Linked DNA regions of Alligator mississippiensis. The protein of the gene in region 2 interacts with the protein of the main gene of each other region in a pairwise test. Links are inferred from orthologs where the notes say so. Each region holds a gene or a part of one and is shown on either strand. Other genes may lie near its edges. The genes, in order: GCC1, AMOTL2, NFIL3 and BRMS1L.

What was found.
Region 1: the proteins of AMOTL2 (region 2) and GCC1 interact in a two-hybrid assay, tested with the Homo sapiens proteins (2 studies listed by BioGRID and IntAct). The two-hybrid records come from large-scale screens. The link is inferred for Alligator mississippiensis from reciprocal best matches to the Homo sapiens genes AMOTL2 and GCC1.
Region 3: the proteins of AMOTL2 (region 2) and NFIL3 interact in binary tests that used the Homo sapiens proteins (3 or more experiments, as listed by UniProt). The two-hybrid records come from large-scale screens. The link is inferred for Alligator mississippiensis from reciprocal best matches to the Homo sapiens genes AMOTL2 and NFIL3.
Region 4: the proteins of AMOTL2 (region 2) and BRMS1L interact in binary tests that used the Homo sapiens proteins (3 or more experiments, as listed by UniProt). The two-hybrid records come from large-scale screens. The link is inferred for Alligator mississippiensis from reciprocal best matches to the Homo sapiens genes AMOTL2 and BRMS1L.

Annotation. Positions count from the first base shown.
Region 1 is NC_081827.1:2,260,434-2,268,108, forward strand, and holds the start of GCC1 (GRIP and coiled-coil domain-containing protein 1), read right to left. Parts: upstream 3,002-7,675; 5' UTR 2,940-3,001; coding exon 2,926-2,939; intron 2,687-2,925; coding exon 1,669-2,686; intron 121-1,668; coding exon 1-120. Other genes in the region: Golgi-associated RAB2 interactor protein 1A, read right to left, coding at 6,968-7,146. UniProt on the Homo sapiens protein: Probably involved in maintaining Golgi structure.
Region 2 is NC_081830.1:30,769,874-30,777,611, reverse strand, and holds the start of AMOTL2 (angiomotin-like protein 2), read left to right. Parts: upstream 1-4,719; 5' UTR 4,720-4,804; intron 4,805-6,498; 5' UTR 6,499-6,588; coding exon 6,589-7,340; intron 7,341-7,738. UniProt on the Homo sapiens protein: Regulates the translocation of phosphorylated SRC to peripheral cell-matrix adhesion sites. Required for proper architecture of actin filaments.
Region 3 is NC_081826.1:212,579,374-212,587,112, forward strand, and holds the start of NFIL3 (nuclear factor interleukin-3-regulated protein), read right to left. Parts: upstream 3,021-7,739; 5' UTR 2,849-3,020; intron 1,811-2,848; exon of another isoform or gene 1,723-1,810; intron 1-1,722.
Region 4 is NC_081825.1:257,108,187-257,115,478, forward strand, and holds the start of BRMS1L (breast cancer metastasis-suppressor 1-like protein), read left to right. Parts: upstream 1-4,275; 5' UTR 4,276-4,340; coding exon 4,341-4,476; intron 4,477-4,942; exon of another isoform or gene 4,943-5,196; coding exon of another isoform or gene 5,197-5,215; intron 5,216-7,292. UniProt on the Homo sapiens protein: Involved in the histone deacetylase (HDAC1)-dependent transcriptional repression activity. When overexpressed in lung cancer cell line that lacks p53/TP53 expression, inhibits cell growth.

The DNA.
Region 1 (7,675 bases), on a different chromosome or scaffold from region 2:
CTTGGCTTTCTCGTAAGTGCCCAGCAGCTCCGACGCCTCGGAGACCTGCCCCTCCAAGCTGGCCACGCGCCGCTCCTCCATCTGGGCTTGCTGCCGGAGCTGCTCTTCTGCCTGGGCTGTCTGGAAAGAAGAGCACAGATGGGTTTCGTTACTGCCTCACTATACGCAAGGAGCCTCTGTGTTCAAGTGCCGGAGCAGCTCCCTCCTCTCTGCTACCACATCTGCTATTTCAAGCCTTCTCTCCCCCCACCCGCAGAAATGAGGAAGCCACTTAACCCAGGGGTGCTCAACCCCTAGCCAGTGGGCCAAATCCCTGAGCGCACCATGACTCTCACTTGTAGGGCACGGGACACATCGCTCCTGGGATGTTTCCACCAACAGAAGTGCGGGATCTCACTGTGGCACGGCCCCTGGCCCCCACAGCCGGATCTGCTGCTGCCACAGGAAGGCTGACACGCTCAAAGTGCATCTCACGAGCCGTTCTGCACGGAGCCAGGGAAAAGGGGAGCTGCCGAGGCCCAGAAGCTGGAGCGAGCAAAGCCCTAATCTTTTCCCCTTCTCTTCCGAGTTATTCATCTCGACGTCAGGGATGGGGAATTCTGCAGAAAGCTACATTAAAAGTAGCTTCCCCTTCACGGCGGTGCCCGCGCTGAACTTTCTGCCCTAGGATTTGGGAACCTATTACAAAGGCAAGATGCGAGGTGCTGCCCCACGGCCGCGGGACGACGCGGCATCCGCTCCGGGCGGGCAGCTAGAACGAGCACCACGGGGAAGTGCCGAGACACTACGTTACGGCACGAGGATTGCTTTCCCACCCTCGTCTCCACCCGACCACTGGGGACCTGCCCGCTCGCGCTGGGTGCTTTGGCTTGTGCGGGACTTGCTAGCCTCGCAGGACACAGGCGGTCCTTCTCACTTGGCACAGTGCGGGGCCAGCCTTTTCGGCCACAAGTTAGCCCCACACCTTCCCCGAGCGCTGCTCCGATCCCCTTCCCATGCCCGTTCTGCTGCTCTGCTTTCTGCTTCCTCCCTTGTGCTCCCTGACCAATCCAGTGCTCTAATAGCTGCATAGTTATTAGGGGCTGGAAGAGACTTTACAGCTCATTGGGTCCAGCTCCCTGCACGTAGGCAGGAAAGACCACTGGGAGCGTGTTTGCTCCCAGCCTGATCCACTGCTCTGCTTCCTGCTTCCTTCAGTGTCCTCCTTGCACAATTTGCTGCTTTGCTTTCCGCTCCCAGCCCTGCGCTTCCTGTCTGATCTGCTGCTCTGCTGCCTTCTCCCTGTTCTGCCACGTACCACAGGGTGGCCGCCGCTAACACAGAAAATGTTGTTTTTTTAAAATCTCTTACTCATAGTATCATGGCACTTAGGGTCGGAAGGGACCTAAACAGATCACCACATCCGACCGCCAGCCCCGGGCAGGAACGGGTGCTGGGATCATATCACCCCAGCCTAATATCTGCCTAGTCTCCTCCTGAAGACGAAGGGGCTGGACTCGATGATCCTCCAGTGTCCCTTCCAGCCCAAATGTCTACGAAAGGTAGGAGAGAGCACCACCTCGCTTGGGAGGTACGAGATGCAGGGTCTCTACCGCCTGAACCGCGTTGCAACCCCGCTCCCGCCCCACTCCTACAAGCGGGCGGCCGAAGCACGAGCGACGGAGCCACCTTTCTCATCTCTTGCAGCAGCTGCGCTTGGAAGTGATGCTTGAGGCTGCCCATCTCCTCCCGCAGGGTCTGCAGCCGGGGGTCCGGCTTGCCGCTCTCGTCCCGCGCGGCCTGCAGCTCCCGCTGGAGCTCCTCCACCTCCTGCCGCAGCCGCCGGACGTGCAGCTCGTAGGTCTCGGCGCGGTCGGCCGCGCACGCCCGCCCGGCCAGCGCCTCCCGGGTCTCCTCCAGCTTCAGCTCCGCTTCCTGGCGCGCGGCCCTCTCGCTCTGCAGCAGGCGCTGCAGCTCCCGCAGCATCACGGCGTGGTCGCCCTGCTCCTGCGCCCGGTCGTGCTGCTGGGCGATGAGGCGGGCTTTGACCTCGGCCAGATGCTCCTGGGCGCCCGCCAGCTCCGCCTCCAGCCGGCTCTGCTCCTCCTCCGCCTTTTTCGCGGCGTCGTCCAGGTCCTGCTTCATCTTCTTCTTGTCCGCTTGGTAGGAGGCCTCCATGCGGGACTTCTCCTGCGCGACGGTGGCCAGGGAGCTGGTCAAGGTGGCCAGCTGCGTCTTCAGCTGCAGCACCCGCCTGTCGGCCTCCGGCGCCTCGGCGCTGCCGGTGCTGACGCCGCTCTCCGACCCGCTGGCCTCCTCCGCTTTCGGCGGGGCGGCCCTCTCCTCCTCCGCGCCCAGCTCGCCCTTGGCGCTGGGGAAACTGGCGGCCGTGTCGGCGCTGGCGGCCGTGCCCCCGCTGTCCTCGCTGTGCACCGAGCTGCCGTCGTCCGCCGCGTCCGCCGGGGCGGGGGGGCCGCCGTGCGCCTCGTGGGACGCCGACAGCGCCGTGACGCTGGCCTCCAGCGCGTCCTTCTCCTTCAGGAGGCTCTTGTAGGCCCGCACCACGTCCTTCAGGCGCGCCTGGTACTGCAGCAGCTGCTTCTTCTGCGACTCGATCGTCTCCGCCAGGTCCCGCTTGCTCGGGCCGCCCCCGAAATTCATGCCGAACTTCTCCATCGCGCCGCGGCTCCGGTTCTGCTCTGGCGCCCTGGGACGGGGACACGCGCGTCACCGTTTGCACACGCACCGCGCGCAGGGGCCCGATCCCGTTACAGGTAGGGGGCCCGATCCTGGCTGCACTGGGGGGGGGGGCCCGATCCCGGGGTGCAGGGCACGTGCCCCTCGGACGGGCCTGGTGCCACCCCAGAGGCAGGGGTCAAGGGTCAGGGGTCACCCGACCCCGGAAGTGCCCGGATGGAACTAGCCCCGACAGTGTCCGCTCCCTACCTGCAGACTCGCATGTAGGCCCAGACGCACTGCGCATGCGCGCCTCCCCCGCCGGGGCCGCCCGCGCTTGCGCGGGGTGCAAACTCGCGGGTTAAGGCGCATGCGCATCGCGGCCCGCCGGTGGGCTCTCGGACTGCGCATGCGTCGAGAGGGAGGTAGGCTTTATTGATGCGGCGTGCGCATGCGCATTCCCGGACCCGGAACTTGAGCTGTGTTCATGCTGCTAATAAAGTGTCAACAAGGGAGAGGCGGGAGCCACGTGGCGTGGGGCTGGGCCCTTGAAGCTGGGGAGCATTGGGGTCTCTGGGGCAAAGGGGTTTGGCCAATGGAGCTGCAGGGTCATAGGGCATACACTGTGGGGCTTTTGAAGGGCTGTGGGGCACGAAGCCAGTGAGGCCTGGTGTATGGGGCACTGGAGCGGGGGTCTATGGCACATGGACACGGGGCATGCACCGTGGGAGAGCGCGGGCAGACACGCCTAGGCCCTGGGGTGGATCTGGACAGGACGGTGGGGCCGAGAGGGGGTGGCAGGGTGGGCCGGAGGGTTACAGCGTCGGCGACAATCATCCGACGTCAGCGTGGCCGGACCAGCAGCGTCATCCGGGTGTCTGACTCCAGCCCCCACAGAGCAAGTCTTAATTCCCCCCGCTCAGCCACGGCGCGCGTGCGAGAGAAAGCGCTTCGAGGACGTCTTCGAGGCCAGCTTGGAACAAGGCGGCATCGACAGCAGCTCGTGGGAGACGATTGCCCAGGACGGCCCAACCGGAGCAGGAGCCGGCTGCCGGCAGCTCGGTGCTTTGAAGCCTCGCCACAACAGCAGATGGAAAAGCAGGAGCGGCAGAAACAGCGCGTCACGGACCGAGCCACGAGCCCGGAGCCGCCCGCCCCGCACGGAAACACGTGTCCGAGCTGCGGCAGAGCCTTTCGATCCTGGATCGGCCTCATTGGCCATCTTTAGACCCACAGATGATGCCCTGCCCTTGATCTGGCGTCTGTACCAAGTCCGGTGGGACTCGTGCTTCCCTGCCAGAGTGCCATAAAAGCCCTGCTGCCAAAGGAAACCCAGCTGTAGTTTGAACGTGGGATTAATAAACTGAGCAAAAACATTACGGGCCGTAGCTCTAGGACTGGCGCGCCGCTCGAGGAGGGACGACCGTGGCGCCCGCACACAGAGCCCTCGTTGTCCCAGCCCAATCGGGAGGGTGGGGAGCGTGGCCAGCTCACAAGACTGCAGGCGTGCGCGCCAGGACGTTGAGCTCAGATGGGCTCTGAAAACCAAGAAGTGTTTGAAGAACCGGTCCCACCACATTAAACACTCTCCGCGTACAAAGATGTACATCTTTAATAGCAAACTCAATCGCCAAAAGATATAAAAGCTCGAACTGCACAGATAAGGCCTGGCAAGTGCAGATTAGAAGTTACAAGAAGCATGTTTTTCTGGAGGCACAACAAGATTTGAAGGCAATTTAATCTTAACGCATCCAGGTCCTAAAGTCTTGGATGCCTATTCTTGTTCCCTGTATTAGCTGGTCTGAAATTAGCCTGGAGACCTGCCCGCTGCGTGCACCAGTCGTGTGTACCAGCCTCGGGGGCAAAATCGATTATCTGCTGTTTAAAACGGGGCTTTTGGTGGGAGCAAGAAGGAATCTGTGCTGGGACCTGCGCTGTTGCATGGACCTAGCAGGTGCCCGGGGGGACCTGGCTTTCCAAAGCCTTTGCTCGCTGTGGAGCATGCGTTGGAAGGACCCTGGGTGAGTTTCCGGGCCAGCAGTTGTGGGAGGGAGGGAGTGAAGCAGCTTACAGTTAGCAGCTAATGTGTGGTCAACTGTATTGTGGTACTTGGAATCAGAGTCCCAGAGCCGCGGGTCTGGCAGGGAGCTGCAGGGTCGCATCTAGTCCAAGCCCTGCCTGAGTCAGCATCAGCCCCATCCAACCCCACCCCAAACAAACCCCGTGTGCAAACTTAGAGCCACATGACACAGTCACCCCTGACACAGCCCCAGGCATCGCCCCCACCCCTGGGATACAGGGGGGCCGCGGCTGCCAACATCCCACTGCTGCCAGGGGGTCATGGCTGCTGCAGAGAGCCCAGGACGAGGCCGTGCCCCGCTGCAGAGGAAGGGGAAACCCCCCAGTGCAACCAGTCTGAGCAGGGGGGAAATCCCTTCCTGCCCCAGTGCAGCCTGGGGCTGAGCCTGAGCGTGGGGGCAAGACCCTCCAGCGTGGGTGCAGCAGGAGCATTGGCACAGCCCAGTCCATCCCCAGCCTGGGCTGCAGCTCCCAGCGCCTCTGGAGGAACACACGGAACAGCAGAAAGGGGGAAAAATTCCTTCCTGGACCCATGTAGCAACCAGTAAAGGCCAGAAGCTGGGAAATCCCCATGATCATCCCTGATGTGGGGGAGATGCCCCTGTCCCTGCAAATCGCAGCCCACCCCTAGGAATGGCGTGGGGGTGCCCCTGGAGGGGCCTCCTCAATGCAGCTCTGGGAAAGGGGGTGCATGGGGTGTGGGGGGGCAGCAGCAACAGGGACCCAGCCCAGCTGCACCCTGATCTGCCTCATGCACAGGACCCGTCCTGGGGCTGAGCACCCCACAGGCAGGAGAGGATCCCCAGCATGACCCCAGCTACCCGAGGGTCTCATCCAGAGGCGGTGAGGGTTTTGCTCTCCCCTCTCCTTCCCCGTGCCCACAGAAGGCTGGTGGTTTCCTTCATTCTGCTTTTCAAAAACAAGGTGTATCTTATGGGAGGGGGATGTTGTATGCTAGAAAATACAGTATTTTTTTCCCATAGGCAAGAAAGGCTCTCCAGGCATTTTCCAAGGGGTCCTGGAATCAAAGGAGGTGAAGAGCCCCGAGGCTACAGGCCCCTAACTCACAAAGCATGGTGGGAATGTAGTCAACCGCTTAGCATAGCACCATGCAAACTACTTCCTACAGAGCCGGCGGGCTTGGGGGTGCGCAGCTCAGCACTGCCAGGTGCCAGGGGCTGCTCCCCACTGGCACAACCACGGGCCAAACCTCCTGCTGGGATGTGCCCTGGGGCTCCAGCAGGACGTGCTGCTGCCATAGGGACCCTGGGGGCAGCGGAGGGGCTGGGTGACCTCCCCAACCTGCCCCTATCCCAGACCCCCCAACCCAGCCCGGGTGGTGCAAGGGGCTGCTCATGTCCTGCCACTGCAAGGACGGGCCTAGGTGCTATACCGTAATTTCCAGCAAACAACGCCCTGGGGTGAGAGCCACAGCTGGTTTTTGAGAGGCAGAAGGAAGCAGCAGCGGGAGGGAGCCAAGCGGGCAGGGCTCCTCCTGCTTTCACCCAGCAGAAACTGCCGTTACCATATTCCCTCGCGTATAACATGCCCCTCTGTTTGCAGCAGTTGGGTTTTGGGGAAAGGGTGCATGCTGCCTATGTGAAAATGCATTATATTGGCGGTGAGGCTGGGCCTACGTGGGATTGCCAGCCCGCACCTCCGTGCCTGGGGGACAGCGACAAATACCACGGACAACGTGCAGGGGACAGGATAATAACCGGGGGTCCCAGGGGACGCAGAGCAGAGAGCTCCGGCCAGCACCTCCTGCCCCTGAACGCATCCACAGAGGCAGAAGATGCCAGGGGCTTCCTCTGGTTGCAGAAAGGGCACGGGAGCCCCCAGAGCACCAGGAACCAGCCTGTGCTTATGGCTCGGTGCGGGAGACACTAACGTAGATCCCGGTGGGGTTCGCGTGGTCCCTGGGGTCCTCACCATGGCCTGAGTGGGGCCCAGGGCGGTGGAGGCAGGCACAGGAGGCTCATACCAGGGACAGTGCCCTCCCTCCCTCATCATGTATGTGCCTCAAGGGGTCGCGGGCAGGCTGGGCACGCGGTGCCCCCTCCCCAGGCATGTGAAACCCAACGCTACTGGCCTGAAGGTCCTTGCCCCGCCGCGATATATTTATGATGCTCGGGATTCTCAGACAGGAGCTACAAGTCTTAGCTGCTGCCGCGTCGGCCCGGTCCTCGTGCTAACCCCAGCCCGGCTGCCCGGAGCCGAGGCCCGTCCACTATCACTGGCCCACGGCGATGAGGCTGCTGAGCCGGGAGAGCGGCAGGAGCCTGGATGGAGCCTCCTGCTCCCAGAGCCCGTGGTGCGTGGTCTCACCCTTCGATTTGGCCTGCTCGCCCGCATAGCTCGGGTCAGGCTCCGGGAGCTGCCCCAGGCACCTCTCACACACCATCAGCTTCCCTGGAAGGCATAATGTGAAGGCAAGACATGAACTCCAAGCGGCCCTCATCTCGGCCAATTCCTTTATAACTCTTGGGTTCTGGCTAGCTAGAGCTGCCGTGTTGGGAATGCTGTTGTCCAACACCCGACTAGCTGCTACTGGACCAGCGGGGGCTTTCTGTTATGGGACATCCAGACTCTTGCCGGTGAGCAAAGAGAAAGATTTTTAATGAATATTTCTGCTGTTTCTCCCCTGCGACTGAAAACGTTACTATCCCTCAGACCTCAGCAATGGCTGGGATTTCTTTTGTAGCACATCACGGAGAAGATTCTGCCTTATTTTCCTTAATATCACTGCCTGACTTCTCCCGTCCCTGCAAAAACGACCCCTTCAGCTTCCCTTATCAACGGCCTGCCTTGCACGAAGGTGAAGCTCTTGCGGCTGCTGGCAGTGCTCCCTCTTTCTACCGGTCGTATCTCATCTCTAATGACACGCCAGGTTTTGTGGGGCTGTAACCGTGCTCGGTGCAGCCCTCGGCGTCCCCGCCTG
Region 2 (7,738 bases):
AGGGGATAAGGACTGTCGCGTAGACCTAGAAGTTGGCAGCAGACTGTCAGCAGTCTGGGAATTACAGTCTGAGCACCACCGCAGCAACAAATAATAGTTACTTATTGCTTATAAGTCATTTAGGGCCAGATTGGCAAAAGGGCTCAGCCCCCAGCATGCATTGAGCATCTGGAGCTCTGCTGAAAATCTGGCCACTTATTTGGGTGCCTAATTGGAAGCTGAGCACTTCTGAAAATCTGAACAAACTGCTTCCTATTGCATTAGGTCCCTTATTCATTGCTATTTCAGCTGAGAATGTGAAGTCCCTTTAAATCCACTGCAGCCCCCAAGCATGCATTGACATGCACCCAGTGCTGCTCATTTGAAGAGACCCTTTCCCCCACATATTGCATTTTTAAAGAGCTGCCTGCATTTGATTCACTGCAGCCCTTGCTCTTGCATAATCCTCTCCACTAGTGCCAAGTGCTTTAGCGTGCTACCAGCTCACAATGGCAGCATTTTACACCCTCTGTGCATGAGTGCAGATGATTTCATGAGATGACAGGGACAGCTACCTTCCGCCTAGTGGATTTCTCTCTCTCTCAGCTTCCCCTCATAAAAGTGAATTTCTACCAGCCCCATATTGAGAAAAGCAGGCAGTGAAACCTCTGATAAGATCATGCCAGATAGGATCGCTCCCCTGGCTAATGGCGTCAGTGTATTCCAAACCCCTTCCATTATTGCCTGGCAGTTGATTCCCTGTCACGATTACATCTGTTGAGCTGTCTCGTTTCCATAGGGAACAATGGGAAGCTAAAAGGAGAAAGGGTCCAATTACCAGGCTGAGACGTTATTGTGCAGAGGCTGGGCTGCATGAAGAGAGCATGCAGCTTTCTATACAGCCAGTACTGCACATTGTGCTCAGCGCACCTGCAGCTGCTGCAGTGTTGCCCGTGATGACTTGTAGCTGGAGGCCAAACAGATGGAGGGAAATGGAAACCTACTCTGCTGAGTACAGGTCAAACACGGGCTCCTTCCCCCTACCATCCCAGCCTTTGTCCGTGGGTCACATTGTGATCCAGCTCTACCTTGCTTCCCAGCTGTTATTGTTCCAAGGAAGGCCCCGGGGGAGGAAATTGTTCCTAAAGTGGCTTGGATCAGCACCTGGCCCCAGCCAGTGCAACCTCGGCTGGGAAGAGGAATCAGCAAGTCTGAGCATAGCTCATCTAGGATGGTTAGGGTCTGATGAGGCCAGATCCTGAGCCAGGGGAAATTTACCTGAGCTATCCTGATTTACATCTGTCCTGTAAATCAAGCTCTATTTCCCCACCCTCATCACCTCTACTGATTTCCCCCTCTAGCTGGAGGAAAGCAGGGTTGTCTGCACAGGGGCAGGTCCAGAAGAAAATGGTCTGGTAGGCCCCAGCTGGGTCAGCATGTCAGCCATGGGGATAGCACCACGCCAAGGGCCATGAGCACAGCTTGGCTGGCATGCTGTGCCCTTTGGAAGCTGTTCCACAGCCAGGAGTTTTAAATGCCAGTCCATAGCGCAAAAAAACATGAGCAGTGCCTGAGTCAGCCATGCTGAACACCTGTCTCCCGACATGGTTTCAATGCCACAGGGCCTTTCATTCACATTCAAGGGCCTGCATGGCAGGGTGATGGATTTCTGTATGTGCATAACCCCCCTCTCTTGCTTATAGTCCTCTCTCCATTCATGAAGGACTCAACCTGCTGCTCCCTTTAACGTGACATGGAATTACAGATGCAAAGTGAAGGGAAAGATAAAAATCTGTCTCCTTCAGTGTGTCTTCCTGTCTGGCCTGCCACATCTGCCGCACTCCCTCTATCCTTCCTGTCTCTCCCCACGAGCTCAGTATGATAGCCTGTCATAAAAGGTATTCCTCTGTCCAGGGGAGCGGACAATAGCAGTAATGAAAGAGAAAGGGGAAACATTCCCAAACGGCCAAGGAATGGTCAGGAAAGCAAGGAGAGTTTCTGCTTCTGTGCCTTATAACTGGCCATCACCTTTCAGATGGGGGCAGGGAGTGAAGGGGAAGCGAAGAGGAGCATTGGGAGTGAGCGTGAAGGAAGAGCAGATGGTGAAGGCAGGTTTTTATCAGGCTTGTTTGGTATTAAAGACAATGGTGTGTCTCTCAAAGCTCTGATTAAACAAGGAGATTTATTCTCCTGGACAGCTGGCAGGCAGAGTCTTAACACCCCCTCGGCAAACACCCCCCAGGCAGCCGCAAGCTCCCTGCCACCTCCTCACACACAGCAGGCACCCCACCGGCAGCTGCAAGCTCCCTGCTATCTCTTCCTTCACAACCCACACAATACCTCCGGCCCCAGGTTCAGCGCAGCTGCCTCCCGCCGCTCCTCAGACCTCCAATACAAAGCTCCATGTGAACAATGCGAGTGCACCTACTCCTGCCTTGGTCTTAATCTCCATTCACAAATACGGACTCAGCACCCCATCCACCAGCGTGCAGTTTTCATGGACAGACACCAGTCCAGCAGTCAGTCCATTGACTCATATGCACACATCTGACAGCAGTGCATGTTCTGGACATACACACACACAACAAGCTCCTAGCAGAGAAAAACCAAGAGCACAAGTGACTTGAGTGTGTAGCTTTCCCTTGTTGCCAGCTGTCATAAATTTAGTAGTTCAAGTCTCACCAGAGTTCAATTTTCTCAAAGCCCCAGCTCCTGGAGTCATGTTATTAAGTGAAAATCTCAGTTTTTCCATTAAAAAATAGGGAGTTTCCTGCCTTGCTGGTGAAGATTGAAGTTTGGGCAACATACAACTTAGAAGCTTGGAAACCAAGAGACAAATAAAAAAGATCCCCAGACATATTAATATTGCATTTTTAAACTTACTGTTTTTAAGCAAGTCTCATGAGTCACGTGGGCTGAGATGGTTCTTGTTTGTCAAGGGCAACCCCTGCTTTTCAACACTCATCCCAGTGAATTACCTTCTGGCGGTATCCCAGTGTTGCCAATCCTCATGATTTCATTGTGAGTTTTTGAATGAGGCAAGAGCTCACTTTATTATCTGAGGCCTTACTTAGGAAGAAAATGGTGCCTGTCACAGAATCATAGCAGCACCGGGGTGTCAGCAGGGACTGCTGATTACCACTTTCCAAACCAAACCCCGCTCTTCATACAATCCTTGTGTCCCCAAACATTCCCCCACCCAGGTTGACATTTCTGGGACACAGCTGATTGGGTTGAATGGTTGTGTTGTAACTCATGCTGCATTAATGTGACTCCTTGTTGTCTCCTCGTGGCTACTCCAAGAAGTTTATGAATTAAGTGGGGAGGGGAACGTGCATTTCCAGATAAGCGGTATTGATCTGCAGGCCTGAAACTCTTCTGTCCCAATCTTCTGCTCACCTGCCATAAAACTTTTGGCAAGTTGCAGCCTGTCTTCATGCCTCTGTTTCCCCTCTTAAGCACCTGTCTAGCCTGCCTCTTTAAATGATCAGCTCTGCAGAGCAAGGACCATCTCTTTCTAAGTGGACGGCACCTGATGGGATTTGTCCCTGGCTGCTCGTGCCACAGCAAGAACAATGCTGCCTGCACCCCGCACAGGGGGTGGAGATGGCCACTGCAGGGAAATAACAGCTGCAAGCCAAGCCGATTAGGCTTGAGATGCTTCTTACACTAAACCTGCTGCCTCCCTTCTCAGTGACTACACATATGGAGGGTGCGAGGCCGCGATGTCGACTGGGACATCTCCCATTTTGCTTGCTGCCTGCAATGCTAAAACCCTGAAGGCAGTGGATCCCTTCCCCTGATACCTCCCAGAGAGAGTATGGATGAGGAGATCCAGCACAGGATTCACTCTGGCATGTCTTTCTTCATCTCCAATTCTGGTTAAGACACCAAGATCCAGGTCTGTGGTGCAGTCATCATCCCCTCTCCCGTATGGATACGAAACATGGGTGACTACCACTGTCACCTCAAGAGCCTGGAGAGGGATCGCCGACACTCCCCCACATCACCCAGGAAGATGGCCATGCCAGTGCCAGCGCCAGCATCCCATTCTTGCTGGGCCTGCATCACCAGCAAGGAGTACTGTGGCGGGCTGGGCTGGACCTTGTGCGCAGATGCCTGACTCTGGACTCCCAAAACAAGTGATCTGCTTGTGGCTTAGTCCTGGCCTAGTGGGCTAGGGTGGCCATCAGAGAGGACAGTCCGGTTATTCTCTGTCCTGTATTGATACGAAACCGGACGCCTGTATGTCTTCTATTTTCTCTTGAAGAGAAAAACAGGACATAAAGGCGTTGGGTGCTGTATCAGTTGACGGAATAGCAGAAAACCAGACTGTCCTCTGTGATGGCCACCCTATGGTGGGCAGAGGTGGCACAACCCGGCCAGGCAGAAGGCAGACCTCCAGACAAGGTGTGCTGGCGGAAAGACCAGGGACAGCTGGCTGGCACCCGGCCGAGCCTCAGCCCAGCGCCAGGCCCTGGAGGCAGAGAGGGAAGGGGAAGAAGAAGGGGAAGAGGAAGAAAGGAACGAAGGAAGGGAAGGGAGCGAGAGAAGGGGAAGGAAGAGGAAGAAGAAGGGAAGGGAAGAGACAGACCCGCACCCGTTGCCCACACCTCGTCCTACACCCGCAGCCAGGCCGAGCCGAGGCCGGTGGGGGCTCCGCGCGCTCCCCCTGGCGGGCCCGGCGGGCGGGGCAGAGCTGGGGGCGGGGCAGAGCTGGGGGCGGGGCCAGGGCCGGGGCCGGGGCGGGGCGGCCGCATTCCGGGCATAGCTGTCGGCTCGGCCGCTCCGCGACGCTCGTCTTGGTCCTGGCTGCGATGCGCGGGTGAGTGCGGCGGGCCGGGGCCGGGGCCGGGGCCGGGGCCGGGGCCGGGCGGCTCGCCCCTCGCCGTGCTTGGAGCCGGAGCGGGGTGGGTGGGTGGGCGGGCAGGCGGGCCAGGCCAGGCCAGGTCAGGTGGGGTCCTCGCCCACCTCCAGGGAAGAGCAGCTTGCAGGGGGAGCTCGGGCGGAGCCGGCTTCGCATGGGACGAGAGGCGGGGTGAGGCCGGGGCCCGGGGCCCTCCGTGTCCGGAGCGCGGGCGCACGTGCAGCGGCCCGTCTCGGCGGGGCTGGTCCGGCTGCCCTTCCTTCTTGCCGGCGAAGGGTCGGGCCGCGGGGGGCGACACGCCGTAGCGCAGCCGAGAGATGCCACATCAGAGACCCGCGTTTGGGAAGGTGTTGTTATTCGCATCCCTCCAGCCGGGCAGTATAAATAGACACATGCTGTTCCCACTCTGCATCCTGGCGCTTTTGAGTCCACTTCTCCTGTTTGCGCACCCGGTGTTGCAATGTTTGCAAACATAGCTGGCGAGGTTTATTCGTTTTGGCGATTAGAGTCTCTGGAGATGGTTCACAAAGTGTCTCGTGGGTGCGTAATGATCTTGAGGTTTGTCAAAGCTTGCATTTAAAAAGGCTAATTTATGGTCCGCATTTGACAAATGCCTCTTATACGAAAGTCCTTGTGTTAGGTGGACTGTAACGTTTGTCCTGTTCTGCTGGTAACGCAGGGACAAGGCGTAGCATGCACTGGCATGCCTCTGGGTCTGCCCAGCACAGCCCGGTTCGGTGCAGGCAAGAGCACGTCTTTCACTGCAGTTAATAAAACCTCTTCCCTGCCTCCGTTATCAATACTTCAGTTTCCCCGAACTGCAGGGTCTGTTATTTAAGGGGATGAATTTGACTCGACCCAGCAGATGGACTGGATTTCTTAGGCAGCAATCCCTGCTTTTCCCTGCCGTGGTTCTCTTTGTTACCTAGCCTTTGTGTGCATGCGTGTGTGCACCTGCAGATAGATGCACCAAATTCAGGTGTTTTGACTAGATTCCCATGAGCACTTCTTTCCAAGGTGGTAAATACAGCTGTACAGACTATTTGCAGTGGACCGCCAGTGCACTGTTTGTGCTTCAAGTCCCAGGGAAAGCCAGTGCGCCAAGGCTCTGTGTAACAATAGGAAGCCAGCGAAGTTCCCCATAGAAGTTCCCTGTTTAGCGACATTCCTCACTCCCCACCCAAGGTCACCTCTTGAGCAAGCTGAGGTCAGGACATTTTGGACAAGATGGGATGTAATGGAGCAACGAGCAGCTGAGTAGAGTGCCGTTCTGTAAGAGAAATGGGTTCCCTTGGAGTTGAACCTGCATGGTTTGGTCTGCGTCCAGCATCCACAAGGCAGGCTGCAGTGCTTAGGACAGGAGCTGAAGCTGAAGTTCCCTAGGGCCTGGTTGTAAATGACCCCCCGCAGAATTAGCTGTGATTCTCTACTGGTCCCAGGGTATGAGCATATAAGCATTGCTCAGAATCCCTCTCCTCCCCATCGTACCTCCCATCGGATGTGACTAAAGGAGAGGCAGTTTCTTTCAGGGCCAGAATGCTGCAGTGGTTTTCTGGAAAAATGCAACTGTCTGAAGATACTCTATGAAAAAAATGTTGCTTCTTGCCTGACTGCAAGAGCTGTCTTCTAATTTTAATTTTCTTCTCTTGCAGGCTCCTTGCAGTGGCCGTTTGCTGCTAGATCCGTGGGACTGTATCATTTCTTCCCACTGGGAGCACTGGTTGCCGATTGACCAGCCAAAGATGAGGACAGCAGAGGATTCCTCTGGGACAGTCCTGCACCGGCTCATCCAGGAGCAGCTGAGATATGGGAACCTTACAGAGAACCGCACGCTGCTGGCGATTCAGCAGCAGGCCCTACGTGGAGGAGGAAGCAGCAGCAGCCCTCGCTCTTCCCTGGAGAGCCTTACACAAGAAGAGAGCCATATGGTGCAGCAGTCTACCCGGCAGGAGCCCCAGGGCCAGGAGCACCACTCCGACCACATCTACCTGGAGAACAACCTGTACCGGCTCTACCAGCCCCAGCACAAAGGCGAGGAGCTGCCCACCTATGAGGAGGCCAAGGCCCACTCCCAGTACTACGCCTCACAGCGAGGGGCACAGCAGGCTGGGGTGGCCAGCTCAGGGGCTTACACCGAGACAGGCCAGCGCAGAGCTTATGCTGCCGACAGCAGCAGCAAGCGCCAGGACGAGTCCCTGAAGGATCTGAAGCATGGTCACGTGAGGTCGCTGAGCGAACGCCTCATGCAGATGTCACTGGAGAGGAATGGAGCCAAGGCCCAGAACCACATGAGTTCCTCCCACAGCTATCCCCAGCTTTCGAGGCACTACCAGCTGTCTGCTCTGAGAGGCCAGCATGCTGAGGGGATGGAGCCACGGGGGCCCCCTCCAGAATACCCCTACATTATGCCCTCCCAGGAGCCCTCGGTCAGCTACCTGGCAGATTCCAGGCCTTGCTCCAGGGATGGCCCAGGGTATCAGCACCCTGAAGTCAGGTAACCAACAGCATGTATATTGCACCTCACCATCTGCAACAGAACAGCATGCACTACCAATTCCTGCGGTCCTGGGGGCAGTTAGTTGCCGTAGCCCTGGAAAAGACGAATAGAAAAAGTGCTGGGTAACTTTCTGCTGAACCACATGGCTCCCAGGAAGTACCTTGGCCGTTGCCTTCCAATGCATTCTCATGCCCAAGGCTTTGTGCATAAGCAGAGAAAGCCAAGCCTTGCAGAATAAGGAGAGGAGGCAGGGACTCTACTGTCTTCTGCTAATTGTGCCAGTCCTCACTTTCCCCCAGTTCTATGGATACTTTCCCAGATCTGGAAGTGCTGGCAAATGTGGAAGGGCAGAGAATTTGGGCATTTACTTTTTATCATGCTTTTAAAGCTACGTG
Region 3 (7,739 bases), on a different chromosome or scaffold from region 2:
AAATCTTGCAATCTAAAACAAACACATGTATATGTACACATATATACATACATATACACACACACATACATACATATATGTATATGTATACACGCACACACACACATACACATATACATATATATACACACATACATACATACATATGAGACATCCATAGCTTTTTCTATATGAGAAGACTCTGTGGTAACTGAAGACTGACATCACAAGAGCCTGAAAGCTTAGCTTTCACCCAGAGCCAGCTGAATTCAACAGAAAGTGCCTATTAACTTCCGCATGCTTTAGAACAGCTACTGAGCCACGGGGATTTTAAACCAGATGCTGTAAAATCATCATCATCATAACAATTCTTCAGTTGGCACTAACATCTCTTCATCTCCAAGGCCAGGTGGCCACTGGGTTGAAAAGGTGCCTGTGAAAGGTTCACAACCATTAGGCCTAGGAAAGTAAGAGAGGAGACTTGGCAAAAATAACCCCAGTGGCAAAAGAGCTGTTGGTTGTAGCCGTGTTGGTCTACAGATGTGGCTCTAAGGACATAGGCAAGCAAGGTGCTTTGGATCGATGTGATATCTTTTATATCTGGGTATATAAAAGATGGGATATCTTTTACATTCTCTGGGTCGATGTGATATCTTATATTGGACCAACTAAATATCTGGAAAAATTGTTCTTTGCAAGCTTTCGGGCACAAACGCCCTTCTTCAGGCACTGCAGACTCTCCCTACACCTGAAGAAGTGTGTTTGTGGCCGAAAGCTTGCAAAGAACAATTTTTCCAACTAGTTGGCTGGTCTAATAAAGGCTATCACATCTATCCAAAGAACCTAGTGTGCCCGTGGAGAAAAACACAGAAGCCCTCTCCATGTGTCCGGAGGAACTCCTAGGCAGCCCGAAAAGCCCCAGGCGAAGTAACGAGCGGGTGCTGGATGCTTCGGAACAAGCGGGGCTCTACTCTCAGAGACACCCCGTGCTGGAGGGAGAGGAGCGGAGGAGCGAGGGAGCTGCCCAGCCGAGGCACAAAGGCTGGTGGCTGGCGGACGGAGGGGGGGATGTGGGAGTGGGCTGGATTGCTCAACAGCCTCCCTTGCCTCCTGGGCTCGCAGGGAGCGGGAGCCTCCCACTCCCTCCCTCCGTGTGGAGCAGCAGCGAGCACACGCGCTACGTGACCGGGGGCGCATCCCTCCCTGCGCCGGGCCGAGCCCGCGGCGCGGAGCACGGCGCCCGCTCCCCAGCCCGGCCGCGCCGCCTCCCTCCCGCCGGCTCCGCGCTACCTCCCAGCAGCCCCCGGCTCCAGAACAAAGGATCGCGGAGCGGAGCGCAGCGCCCCCCCCCACTCCCGGCACGGCCGCCGCCCTCGGCCCGGGGCTCCCTCCAGCGCGGCGCAGCACGGCACGGCACGGCACGGCACGGCGCGCCTCCCCCGATCCCGACCGCACCGGGCACAAACACAACGTGCCCGCGGAACAACCCCCGCCGTGGGGGCCTGGTGCTTGGAAACAGCCTCACTGCCCCTCCCCCCCCCTTGATTTTAGTTTAAAATGAGTCCTGCAGGCTTCGCAATTCAAGGAAAGATGCAAGACTGTAGAGCAGCTGGGGGCCGGCGGCAATGCTCGGCTCCCCTCCCCGACTCAATCTTGCATCCGGGGTGAAATGAAATGAAATCAGTGTCCCGGGGGCTCCTTGCGAGTGCTGCGCTCGCGCCCCCCCGCGCACGTAATACTGACCTACATAGCTCCGCGGCGCCACACCGCCGCCGCGGGACGCGGCTCCCGGCAGCGCCGCGCGGGACCGGGCCGCTCCGCGCCCCCTGCCAAGCGCACCCGCAGCGCACAGCAGTCCGTGCACGCCAGCCCCCACGGAGCCCGCGCCTTCCCCGAACACCCCGCCCCAGCCCCAGCCACGAGGCAAAACACCCCCCAGCAAACAGCCCTGAACAGCAGCGCTGGAGAAAAGACCAGAAATAGCAACACCGCAGCCACAATTGCTGAACGGCGACGGGGCTAAATATAGACAAGCACAATTTTCTTCCGAAGGAACCTGACACACATTCAAAAGCCAGCACGAGTTGCCTCCCTCCCTCCCTCTCCCTGTTACCCACTTGCCTCGGGAGCGGACTCCGAAAGCGGCACAAAACCAAGCGCTCCTCTCCCCAGCCTGGTCCGGCGGCATGTAGCGGGGCCGAGATTTGTCCCCGCGTCTTTGTAGGCGGCGGCGGAGCGCCCCGAGCCCCCCGCTCCCTCGCCCTGCCCGCCCGCCAGCGCCGCGCTTACATAATGCAACATTTCCAGGAACTATCCTGCGATCGGCGCAGGGGCTGGGGACGGGGACAGAAGTGGGGGGAGCAAAACAACAACAAGGGGGGGAAACACACACACACACACCCCAACCCCTGGCAAACACAATGCGCTGGGAGCGGGAGCGGATGCGGCGCGTGTTCATTTCACGCATGAAAACAGAGCAGGCAGCCGGCGGCACGGATCCCTGCCCGCGCCCCACGCACCTCGCTCCGGAGGATGAACGAGCCGAGTCCCAGCGCCCTCCCCCTCGGGCTGGCTCCGGGATTCAAAGCGGGGGGGGGGGGAGGAAAACAAAGCGCCGAAAACCCAGCCGATCCCGCGTCCCAGCCAGGCTTTTTGTGGCCCCTCCTCGCTGTGCCCTAGCCACCCCAACCCCCGCGTTGTCAATCGGCCGCACCCGCGGCAGATCCCCATCTCCGATCCGCGCGAGCGGGGTCGCTGTCAGAGCGGCGCTCCGGCCCGGGAGCGACACGTCTTATGCAACCGCCCAGCCGCCGCCTCAACCCAGCCCGGGGCGGCCGCGAACACGCGGAGGAAGGACCCCCCGTGTTACCTTCATAGCTCGTGGGAGCGGCGGGCGGGCGAGCGGAGGGCCCCGGGTTGGGCTGAGCAGGGCTGGGCAGCGGCGGGGGCCTGTGCCGAGGCCGGGGCAGGACCGAAACGCCTGCCGCCGCCTGTGCGACGCGCAGAGGGATGTGTGTTAGTAGGTCAATACTGTCTGTAAGCGCACGGGGCTCCTGCCAGCCTGTGCCGTGACTGGCAGCGGCCCGGCCCCAATCAGGGCTGGGCGCTGCCGGGTGCAACCAATCTGGGCCCGCGGGGGGGGGGGAGGGAGAAGGGGGCAGGACCAGGCTTGAATTGAATTCCCCCCGCCCCACTCTCGCACGCACGCACACACACACACACACACACACACCCCTCCCCCGCGGCCGGGCGCTGCGCGGTACAGTAGGGCCAGGGCTGGATTGCATAACCAGCCGGGGGTACTGCCGCGCGAGCCCGCCCCGCCCAGCCCCGGGCAGCGCTGCGAGCTGCGGCCGCGGCGCCGGGGGGCGGGGCAGAGCGGGCTGCGCGCAGGCGGGGGGCGAGGAGCCGGCCCGGCCCCAGGGCGCGGGGGCTGAGCGAGGCGAGGGAGGCTTAAGAGCGTGTGTGTGTGTGTGTGTGTGTGTGTGTGTGTGTGTGTATGGAAAGACCAGAGTGTGTGTGTGTGTGTGGAGATGTGTGCACATGTATGTGTGTGGAGGGGTGCGTGTGTGCAGGCGTGTGTGGAGGGGTGTGTGTGCGCATGTGTGTCGAGGGGTGAGTGCATGCAGGCATGTGTGGAGGTGTGCACATGTGTGTGCGTGCAGGTGCGCGTGTGTACAGGCATGTGTGCATATGTGCAGAGATCTGCGTGCATGTGTGTGTGGAGGGGGGTGTGTGTGTGCAGGGGCAGGCACCTTTGCCGCGAGGCCAACCGAGGCTGGCATGTGAGCGCAAGCCAAACCCCGCCCTGGGTCGCGCCGCACTGTGTGAGCCACTGGGGTGAGGGCATCAGCCACGCTGCAAGCTGGTGCCTGCCTTGATGTGGCTGGACGGCACTCCATCCTCCCATAAAAAAACAGCATCAGGAAACCAGGCTTCCCACAGAGAAGCTGTCCTTCGCAAGCCCTTGCACAAGTCCCAGAAGGGTCTTTTTCGGCGCATATCTGCCACCTAGCCAGCACCGCTTCCCATCCATCCCACTCAGTCTCGGACTAGTCAAAAGAAAAAGGCTGCTAAACAGACACTGCTTCTGTCCTGGGCGTGTCCCCTGCGGCTCTGCCACTTGCCACTCTGGGCTCCAAAAGCACGCATGGTACACACGAGTCTGTTGCTGGCTTCTCTCTTCCATATCTCCGAGGATGAAGGATTCCATGAATATTTCTCCCACCGACTGAATGCCAGCCATCAAATGCTCAGTGGTGGAGAAATGTTTGAGAGCGCGCATGAGATTTCCCCTCCCTTTCCCGCCTGGGTGTTCTCCCCCTCCACTTCTGAGACCATGTCTCCGAGAGACTGCTTGCCTACTGGCTCCCATTTGTCAAACCTTCAACCTCTACCTCTTTTCCCAGGGTACTAAAAGGAGAAAGATTAAATAAGAAAGTCTGGTGTGAGTCTGACCTTTGTTTAACCTCCATTTTAGAAAATGACACATGGTCAGCTAGAAATCCAATTCTCCTCTCAGAATGTGTTTGAATTTACACACATTTGATTAAGTGTCTGACACAATGTCTTCCTCTCCTTTTTCTTCCCCCTTCACAATGGGGTTATCACATGTTTTGCCTTTTATTCCCCCAAATGGTAGTTTTCCCAAGACAAGAAACAGACAGTTGTTATTTTTTTTACTTGTATTTCCAGACCAAAAATGATTTATGACTTCATTCTACTGAGATTTTTTTTCTTTTAAAATATTAGGGTTTTTTTCCCCTCTTATTCTGTCATCTTTTCTATTCCTCAGGGGGGTTAGGCCTGATCCAAATCATTCTTAGCATCATGCAAATTTAGAAATCGGAAAAGGTCACTGAGTATTTTTCCCTGGTCTCTTGTCACATTCATCCATACCCTCCCTCAGCAAAATATCAAAGCATCTTCAACCCATTTATATTTACCCCCCGGTCCCCAGTTATTTATTGCACAAGACTATTTTTTATGCAAACTTTTTTGCTCAAGTTCCTTTTTTCTTGCTTCTATTTTTCTAACGAGTACAATATGCGGTCTAGAATATTTCTAGATGGCTAGTTCATAAACAGCAAAAGTCAGAGGGACCTAATATCACATGGTGGCTGTGAAATAACCTTGGTTCTCTCACTCACAGTTGCCAGGCATCATGAAACTACTAAAGCCAATAGCACCCAACTGGAAATCTCAGAAATGAGGTTTTTTAAGCATAGCAACTAAAGTATTCAGAGTAGGTCAGGGGCAAGAGGCACATTGGCTGGGCTATATGGGGAAGCATATCCTGCCAGTATTACTCTTGCTGCTTCACGAAGTGTTGAGAAGAAATAAAGTTTCCAAGGGTTGTCAAACCCGGCATCTTTCACAAAGATTAAATCTACACAGAGTCGTCTTTGGCAAAAAAACCTATTCCTTTTCCAGAATTTTCTATGAATTCTGGGCATTTAAGAATATTATGAACTCTTCTGTTTCTAGGAATAAGCACAGGGCCTTCCTCCATAAATCAGATTCTTGAGATCTTGGAAGAGTGCTCTAAAGCAAGTAAATCCTAGCTCTTTACTCCAAAATGTAGACCCTGCTCAGCTGCTGCCTAACCTTGGATGCATCTAGGCAACAAAACCCTGGAGGCACACAGGGCAGACTGAGAAACACCTAGATCTTGACAATACTGTGCAGCTCAGTACCTGTCAGGGTTTACAGTCTAGGCATTTCTCTGCTTGTTCTACTCACAGTGCCCAATCCAGGAGACCTTCTCAGATAGGACTGCCAAAAACACAGCTGGGGAGAGCAGTATTCTTTTACTCAAAAGCCCAGTGGTTAGTGCACTCATCCAGACAGGCTCAATGCCCTCATCTACCGCAAGGGATTTGAGCCCACCTCTACCACCACCTGGGTAAATGCAGACCGCGATATTCTCAGATGGGGTCCTCTCACACTCCCTCCTACTGAAACTGCTCTGCTTTTCATGGCATCATTAATACTAATTTGATCAGAGACTGGAGGAGTGTGTATAAGGATGGTTCTCTGATCTAATCATTAAGACACTCATTTGAAGGTGGGTGAAACCTGAGTTTCAGTCTCTACTCTGACTAGGGGTAAGAAGGCAGCTGGTAACAAACTGACGTAAGGCACTTAACTCCAAAAAACAGCTCAGGTAGAAGTAGAAAAAAAGATCAGAACCAGGAAAGGAAAGATTTGGACCAGGTCCTTAGAAGTCTGAGAACAGCAGTTAAGACTAGAAGACTATCACAACCTGACACCCTTCTTGAGGTCAGGTTGGTGGCCTAGGAAGAGAGGCAAGTCTTGGCCTCCCAGCTTCCCATAATGGTTTCCCATCACTCTGTGGCTTTGATTTGGTGCTTACATTCCACAGTGAATTATGGCTCTTCTTTCCCAGCATTTCCTATCAGCTATCTTATGGATCTCCTCACTTTAGCTTGCTTGCTTTTGTAGATACCCTTCTTAGCTGCTTAAGGCCATGTCTACACAGTAAAACTTACTGTGCCCGGAAGTGCCACCCTCAAGCATGCCATGCTTCTCTAAACAGGTTGCCTTCTATACCGGCACTGGTATAACTGTGTCCACACAGTGCCATGGTTGGACCTGAGCTAACTGCCCCATTTACTCAGCAACATTAGTTAGTTACGTTTCTCAAAGCACTTTACTCACATTTTAAGGAAGAGCCTGAACTGAACAGTGCTGCATGCTCAATGGTACTGCTGCTGAGCTCCATAACCTAACCTAGCTCCATAAACTAAGTGAATAGCCCAGGCTTTCTATGTCTGCATCAAAGTCCACCAAAATCTTGCCTGAACCTGACAACCAGTTCCACACACACACCATGCAGTGGGGATGAACTAAATGAAGGGAACTGTACTATAATTATCTGACTCGGAGCTTTTTGATTTTTCTGTGGGAAAGGATGAGCTGGATAGGCCATAGAGACCCATAGCTAAATTCGCATGCAAGTTTAAGCAGATATGACTTACACCTTCCTTCACCCATCTTGGTGAATAAGGTACCATATTTACTTGTATACATGTGCGCCTTTTCCTTGAAAATTGACTCAGCTTACCAGAGGAGCCAGAGGAGAAGAGGTATAGTAAAATAAGCAATTAAACAGAGGATGGGAGATGCTAAATGATACTTTCTGGCACTATTTTAAAAGTCCTTTGACTCCTTTACACCCACTTGCACCCATGTAACTTCTATCTTTCATGTAATATATGAATCTGACTCTGAGTGAATTCCTGACTCCACTGAAGTCAACACAAAACTCCCACTGACTTCAGTTGGGATAGGATTTCATCTCTTGCCTTTTAATATATTCATCATACAGCAGAAACTAATATTGCTAATATTGATTACCTTGGAGAGAATTAGGAGTAAAATAGTTCCTAACAGCGTAATATATTGTAAAATTGAAGGAAATATTTAATTAAGACTATTATTTAATTTGGGCCTGTATTTTTAAAAGATGGTATTAATTGGGGATACAGCCTCTAGGTAGTTTAGTATTACCTTTGATTTCTAAACACTACTAAATTTGTATTGATATGAGGTTCAGCTTCTAAAAAACGTACGCAGACAAACTTCTATTCACTAAAATGTTTATACACCTAAGGAGTTAAGTGCATAAGAAGGTTTCATACTGATCACTGATCAGTTTTTGAACGTGTCCTGCTCCAGAGGAGAAGTTAGTAGATTACAAGTTGTATTTTAAAGACCTACGCCAGAAACAAAGTACA
Region 4 (7,292 bases), on a different chromosome or scaffold from region 2:
GCAGGGGGGGAGCTGAGACACTTTCGCTCCCGCACGGCCGTGCCCATGGATCCCACGCGGGTCACAGGGACGTGCGGCCACCAGATCGCAGTGCTGTCCTGGCCCCAGCCCCGCGCTGTTTCCTCCACAAGATCTCGGGGAGCCCATCTTGCTCCCAGAGACTACACCCCGCCAGCCCATGGCCCCATCCCAACCACCCACCTGTGCGCCCTGCCCACGCAGGTCCCGGCACTGGGCGTGGGACAGGCGGGCCGGGGTGCCTGGGCAGTAGCGCCGGTTCCGACAGCCGCGGTTGGAAGGAGCGCTGCCGCCGGGGCTGCTGGGAAATGGAGTCCGGCTGCTGCGCTGCCCCAGCGCCGCTGCACGCCCGGGGGCAGGGGCAGCGGGACCGGCCGCACGCGCATGGGCGGGGCCAAGTGAACCTCAGTGGGCCGGCAAGACTGCTTTGAGGGCTGCATCTTACCCAACCCTGCCTTACGAGGATTTTAAATTAAAGGCAGTGGTCATACACCCCCATCTTAAATATAATATTAATAAGTAAAATGTTATGCCCTCTTCATTTTTTCTACCTTTTTATATCTCCATGCCAGAACGGGACACAGCACTCAGATACACAGTGTCACCAGTGCCGTATACAAAGCTGAAACCACCTCCATCATCCTATTTGCCATTCCCTTATTGATATATCCAAGGATAGCGGTCAAAAATTGATTTACACAATGCCTCCTTAATCTTTAGTCAGTATTTTTAGGATACAGTGCTCCAATTTGTAAATAAGGGTGTAGGTTGTAGCCGTGTTGGTCTCAGGACATAGGCAGACAAGATTCTTTGGGTGAATCTGATATCTTTTATTAGACCAACTTAAATAGTTGGAAAAAAAATTTTTTTTTGCAAGCTTTTGGGTTTAAAAACCCTTCGTCAGGCTGAGGATTTGTAAATAAGACCTATATTCTTTGGACCAGATATTCAAAGTTACTAAATAAAAAAAAAAAATCAACTGATACCTACACAAAATTGTACTATTCATGTTATGTTTGTCTGATAATTTCTTATGGGAAAAATAACTTCAGGCAGATTACAATTATAGATAGGGTCATAAGTATTTACATGTTGTTAAAAGTATCTGAATCTGTCATTAGTATTTTCCATATTTTTAGAAAACTTAACTTCAGGTATTTATGACAATATTAGTCACTACCATACTATCTAATTCCCTCACAATGTGTAATGTTTTTATGCTCACAATATCCTAACAAGGTAGAGTTGCTCTCTTATTCCCATTTTACGGATGATGAACTGAGGGGGAAAAAACCTAAGTAATATGTCTAAAGTCACACAACTTACAAATGTGCCTGGAGCACAGCACATTGAGCTGGGTTGCAGCAGCCTTGGCTGGCAGGAGGGCCAGGGGCGAGGGTAGGGAATCAGCCTACCAGCCCAGGGCTGCTCCTATCAGGTTCAATGTGCTCCAGAGCGGCTGTCTGGGGTATGAGGATGCTTCAGTGCAGTGCTAGCCAGCAGGCATCCCCCCGCACTGAAGCACCCTTGTGCCCCAGCCAGTCAGCTCAGTGTCTGCACGTGCGCTAATGTGCATGCCAAAACTCCGCAGCAGGGTAGGACTTTTATTTACAAGACATACCCTGCTAAGGAGTTTATTAGTTTCGTGTGCCCTAACAGGGTTGCACGTGTAGATGCTGAGATGCTTACTGTGCATTCAAATAGTCAACTGCAAAGTAAATGTCTCATGTAGATGTACTTTAGTAGTAATTTAATTTGTGGACTACGGTTCATCAGTTTGCAGCAATGGAATTTATACTGTGTTCTGCACCCACTTCCACTGAATTGACTAAAAGAACAAAAATGTAATAGAATGTAGCACTATCTGCGATGGAATATGTTTAGTATATACTTTGGCATCCTGTACATGGTTTATTTACACCAATGTAGCACCATCATAGCAAGCTTCCAGGATCTTTGTGCTATGATATTGATAAGCATAATTGCTAAGAATAGATGGGATAAATTACAGTAAATCAAGAATTTATTATTTTTTCACTGATGCAGCTATTTGCATGTACCAAAAATAAGTTCTCTCTCTCTCTCTCACACACACACACACACACACACACACACACACACACACACACACACACAAACACTTTTTAATGACTCTGTTTTGGCAAACAAACAAGACTAATATTTTATTGGTTACCTCAGAATAGCTGCACCTAATGTGGAAAAATTAAACTTAGTAATTAATCCCTAATAGTGAACAAGATTTCAAACAGTGACTTACAATTATAGCAATTTATCTTTCTATTAACCAAATCTGCATAGTACTATAATTACATATTTAACCATTGTCTGGTATGTTTCATATACGCATGCCAGAGCATAGATGCTTCTAATTAATAATAGTCATGAAAGTTGCCAACCTGTTCCTTAACCCTCTCTCCCTGGGGTCCCCAGCCAAATTCCTTCCAATTCCACGCGCTATGTCACAGCCTGTTTCCTTTGTGCTCCATTTTCCAGGCATGATGTGGAGAGATGTAAAATCTCTGAAAAAGCTAGATCTGGAATAGGAGCAAAGCTGCCATGTTAGCATGGTGCTGCATCCTGACTAATTAACTCCACCTTTCTGTTTCCCATGTTGGAGATAATAGACTTGAAATATTTTTTTTGTGGGGGGGTCAACTTGCACTTTGGGGGTGGAGGGTGTCAACCAATCCCTCGATACCTGCCTGGGTGGCCCACAGTTTGAGAACCATGGCTTAAACCCACCACTAACATATTAAACACTCTTCCTGTACAGATCACTTTGGGAAAAGAATCATAGAAAATGAGGGTTGGAAGGGACCTCAGGAAGCCATGTAATCCAACCCCACAAGAGCATGTGAGCAACGTATAACAAAGTCTAACTGTTGCTTTTTGCTACAGCAAAACTTGGGTTTTGTTTTGGTGTAACAGAACCTACCCACACCTAGCCTAAAAACTAAAAGTAAGCCTATTTTGTAGCAATGATTCTAGCACTATAAATAGTTACTGCCATTTTAACTCTTGTTCCAAAGCTTTCTTCTGAGATGTTGCCTATACATACCAAGAAATCAGCATCCTGTATAACATCATGTCATCCCACTCTTGATGGTCCCCATGCCAAGCAAGGAGACAGACTACTTTGTGTACTATTATGGACACAATCTGTAGAACTCAGCACTTAAATGAGACACAATTCTTTGCTTCAGTGGACATAACCACCTCCCGTCATAACATGGAAACAGTTTTGTTAACCATCTCTGTTCAATACAGCAACCCCTAATATGGCTGGAGGGCAAACAGAACAATCCTGGAATTCAGGCCTGTAGAACACAGCACAACTCAAGACAACATTGGTTCTTAGTCCTTCTTTATGTCTACTGACTATGAAATCCTCCTTGTTACCAAACCCCTCCCAGTGGTTATCGTCAGCCCTAGGGAGCAGACTTAAAGTCAGGTGTAATTAAAAACTGATATTACATCTACTAAGACAGCGGTGCCCAATCTTTTGGCTCCATGGGCCAAATACAGGCCTTGAGCTCAATTTGGCATGTGCCAGATCACAGCCCCAGCCCCATATTCTGGATCAGCCCTGCCAGCCCAGCCCCAGTCTTGCTTGTGCCAGATTGGGCCCGCTGCCCTGCCCCCAGCCCTGTGTGCGCTAGATCCCAACTGCCCCTCCCCTGCGGATCCAGGTCCTGCGCGGGCTAGCGCGACCCCTGTCACCTGCCCCGCGGGGCTCGGAAATTTGGCGGCGGGGGCTTATGAATTGCCCTGGCTCCCCGGTAGATGTCCGGAGCCTTGGGGAGCCCGTCGCGGACTCCGCGGCCGGATGCGGCCCGGGAGCTTGAGCACCGCTTGCACCAGGAGATGAAGAGAGGTCACGGGTCGGAGCAGGAGAAGAGGAGAAACCTCCGCCCGGGCAATCCTGCCAGTTCCGAGCCGCCAACCTCGGGCCTGAGGCTGGGACAAGGGCGGGGTCGTGGCCCGGGGCTGTCCCTCAGCCCAGCCGGCGGCGCCTCCGATCGCAACGGGCCGCCGCTCACTTCCCCTGCCCCGGCACGGAACCTCGGCACCGCCTCACTAGGGGCGGCACTACGAGTCCCGAGATACACCGCGCGCGGGCCAACCAAGCCTGCCGAGAGCGTGCGGGAGCCACCCACTCGGCGGGGAACCCGCCAATGGGCGGTGGGGCGGCGCCAGGGGGTTCGGCTGCGCCGGGGCAAGGATGGCGCGGGCTCATTGAGGAGGAGGAGGAGGAGGAGGGGCCGGGGGTAGCGGCGGCGGCGACGACGGGCGTGGGCACGATGCCGGTCCACTCGCGGGAAAAGAAGGAGAACAACCACGATGAGATGGAAGTGGATTACGGGGAGAACGAGGGCAGCAGCTCGGAGGAGGAGGAGACAGAGAGCTCGTCCGTGTCCGAGGAGGGCGACAGCTCGGGTAGGCGGGCAGCGCCGCGCGCCCCTCCCCCCTGCCCCGCGCACTGTGGGCGGGGCCGGCCCCTTCAGCCTCATCGCCTCAGCTGGCCGCGCCCCACGGGGGTCCCGCCCCGCCCCGCCCCGCCCCCTCCCCTCGGCCCAGGTCAGCCTCCCTTCTCCGGTCCCTTCCGCCCCGCGGGGAATGCCGCCTCAGGGCGCCCGCCCCGCCCCGGTTTCGGAGCCGTTGACGCTCCTCCCCGGGCCGATGCGCCGAGCGGCGCTCGCCCCGCCTCTGAGTCTGCTTCCGCCGGCTCCTCCCTGACTCGGTGTTGCCGAGGCGGGGACGCGGGGCGGGGGCGGGGTTTCAGCTCGGCTGCCCCGTGTGGGGCGTGCCCCCGGCTGTCCCGGTGTCTCTCGCGTTGGGTTTGCCTAGTTCCCAGTCAGAAACTATTGGGGACGGAGAGCTGGCGCTTAGCAGCGGTGCTCGAGGGCTGGGAGGTTGAGAACCGCTGTCCTGGCTTCCCGGGGAGGGAGGTATCCCGTCTCCCTCCGTTTCTGTGCAAGAGGCAGGCAGTTCCTTCCCTTCTTGCTGGGGCAAAGGGCAGGCTCCAGTCGTCTGAGAATGGCTGAGGTGGCCAGTGCTGCTTAACCAGATTGGGTAGCGAGTTGTTCAGGATGGTGCTGCCTAAATCTCTGGGGCTAGGGAAGTCCAGGGTCTCACCAGTGCGAGATCAGAGCTCCAATGACCATCTTAGTGAAAGGTGAGAGCTACTGCAGGGCTGGGCACGGGGATCCAGAGCAGACGGGGAAGGTGATTATTCCTGGCAAGCTCTGTGGAGCAGATATTGTTACAGCCTTGCTACAGTGGGGGATGCAAGTAACAGCCAATTTGCTTGAGTGAATGGCAACCCTGGGAAAAGCTGAAGATATATGATGCCTTCACTGATGTAGTGCACATTGGTGTGGCCTTACTCCAGTTCTTTCAGGGTTAATCATATGCTAGAGATTGGGCAAAGTGGACTCTGGGTGTTGAGGTTTCAGCTGTCTGATGTGAAAAAAACAGGAGCAGTCCGTGTAAATGTGTCAGGAAATAACAGCCCCCATCATTATAGTATGAATACAGTCATTATTGTATCTATCTGCATTACAGTTCTGAGAAATATTGTATATACTTGACTACCAGACAAGGATTTGTTTCCCCCAATCAGTATGGGGAAGAAAACACCTCATCTTACATTCATGTACAAAGAAACTGTATTAAGTACATCACCTAGCTATGAACTGCTACTAAAAGTAGTATGTGCTTTGTACTGGAAACCAACTATGTCATTAATTAAATATAGTCAACACTGAGCATGACTGTAAAACACTTTTTTTTTTTGGTAAAAGTATATATCTTTATATATACATAAAGGGGGATGTATGTGTGTGTACACATGTACACATACACACCTAGTCACTTTTCATCATTTATTTGTGCCTTCACCTACAAAAGAAAAACCTGTGCACCTATTATAGTATGTGTACCTGTGGAACCATGCTTTTGCACACCCGTCCACAAGGCTGCATCTCCCTTAAACCCACTGTCTCTTAGTCCTCTCCCTGAATACGGGGTTTAAAAACTCGGTTCACTTGTTATCGCTCTCACTGGAGCATCTGCTGCTGCTGTGCTTGTTGCTGCCTTCGAATCCAGTTGTCTCGACATCCTCTTTGCTGTCCGTTTCCCCACTTGAGGTAAGTCTTGGAAGATCCTGTGTCAGGTATCCCTCTGCCAGGTGGATTTGACTGTGTCCTCACTGTCCTGTGCTGCCAGTTGCTGATAGTAGTATGGGAGTTTGCTCAGGGCCATTTTAACACAGTCTGCCACCTCTAGTTCATGTGTCTGTACATCAGGAGGTTCCTGGATTTCCGCAGGGCGCTCCTGATGCAGGACATGAACTGATCGAAGCAGGCCAACGGTCAGGTGCCCGTATGGCGCTGCCTCTCTGGTCAGCTGTCTGACCCCTGTCGTCACTTTGCAGAGCCACTTTACCTTTTTTCACACCTCCTTGGCATAAGAGCAGAGCCATAGGAGGTGGTCGATTGTCTCAGTGGCTCCTAGGCAGATTGCCATCAGGCAGCAGGATCTCCCCGGCTGCCCCTTCCTATGTGTCCAAACCCTCACTGAAAGGGCTCGGTAGGTTACCAGCCAGTTCGAGTTTCTGTGGTCTTTGCACAGGCCTGTGTGGCAGATGCGCTCCCACACAGCTTGGCAAGCGTCGCCCGGGAGGAAGTCTACGGGTGACGATATCTCTAAGTCTCACCCCCCCCCTGTATCTTCTTGTGGTTGGCCATGGTGGGGCCTGCATTCCGTAGGCTGTACATGCTGTGAAGTTCATTCAGGATCTTGTAGAACTGAGGTGGGTCCATGAGCCACGGTCTCCTATTGGTTGACGTGAACGTCCCCCAGTGTCTCGGGAGGTGCCCTGCAAAATATCTCACAAGACAGGCTGTTTTGGACTCTGTGCCCATTGCCAGTTTACAGATCTGGCTTATGTACTTTGCCCAGAGGAACAGGAGGGTGTCTGGCATGGCCCTACCCCTGGCTCGTTTGACCCTATACAGATTCTTTCTGGCTACCTTCTTCCATGTGGAGCCCCAAAAGAATACACGCATCACTCTCTGGATTTTGTGGGTGATATGCTTAGAAGGGGGAAGACCAGTGTGGTGTACAGAAGTAGAAGCAACCCTGCTTTCATAAGTGCCACGTGCCCCCCCATAGAGAGGCAGTGAGAGTGCCACAGACCCAACCTGTGTTTTACCTTGTCCTCTGTCTTTTCGTATGCTTTCCTGCTGCTC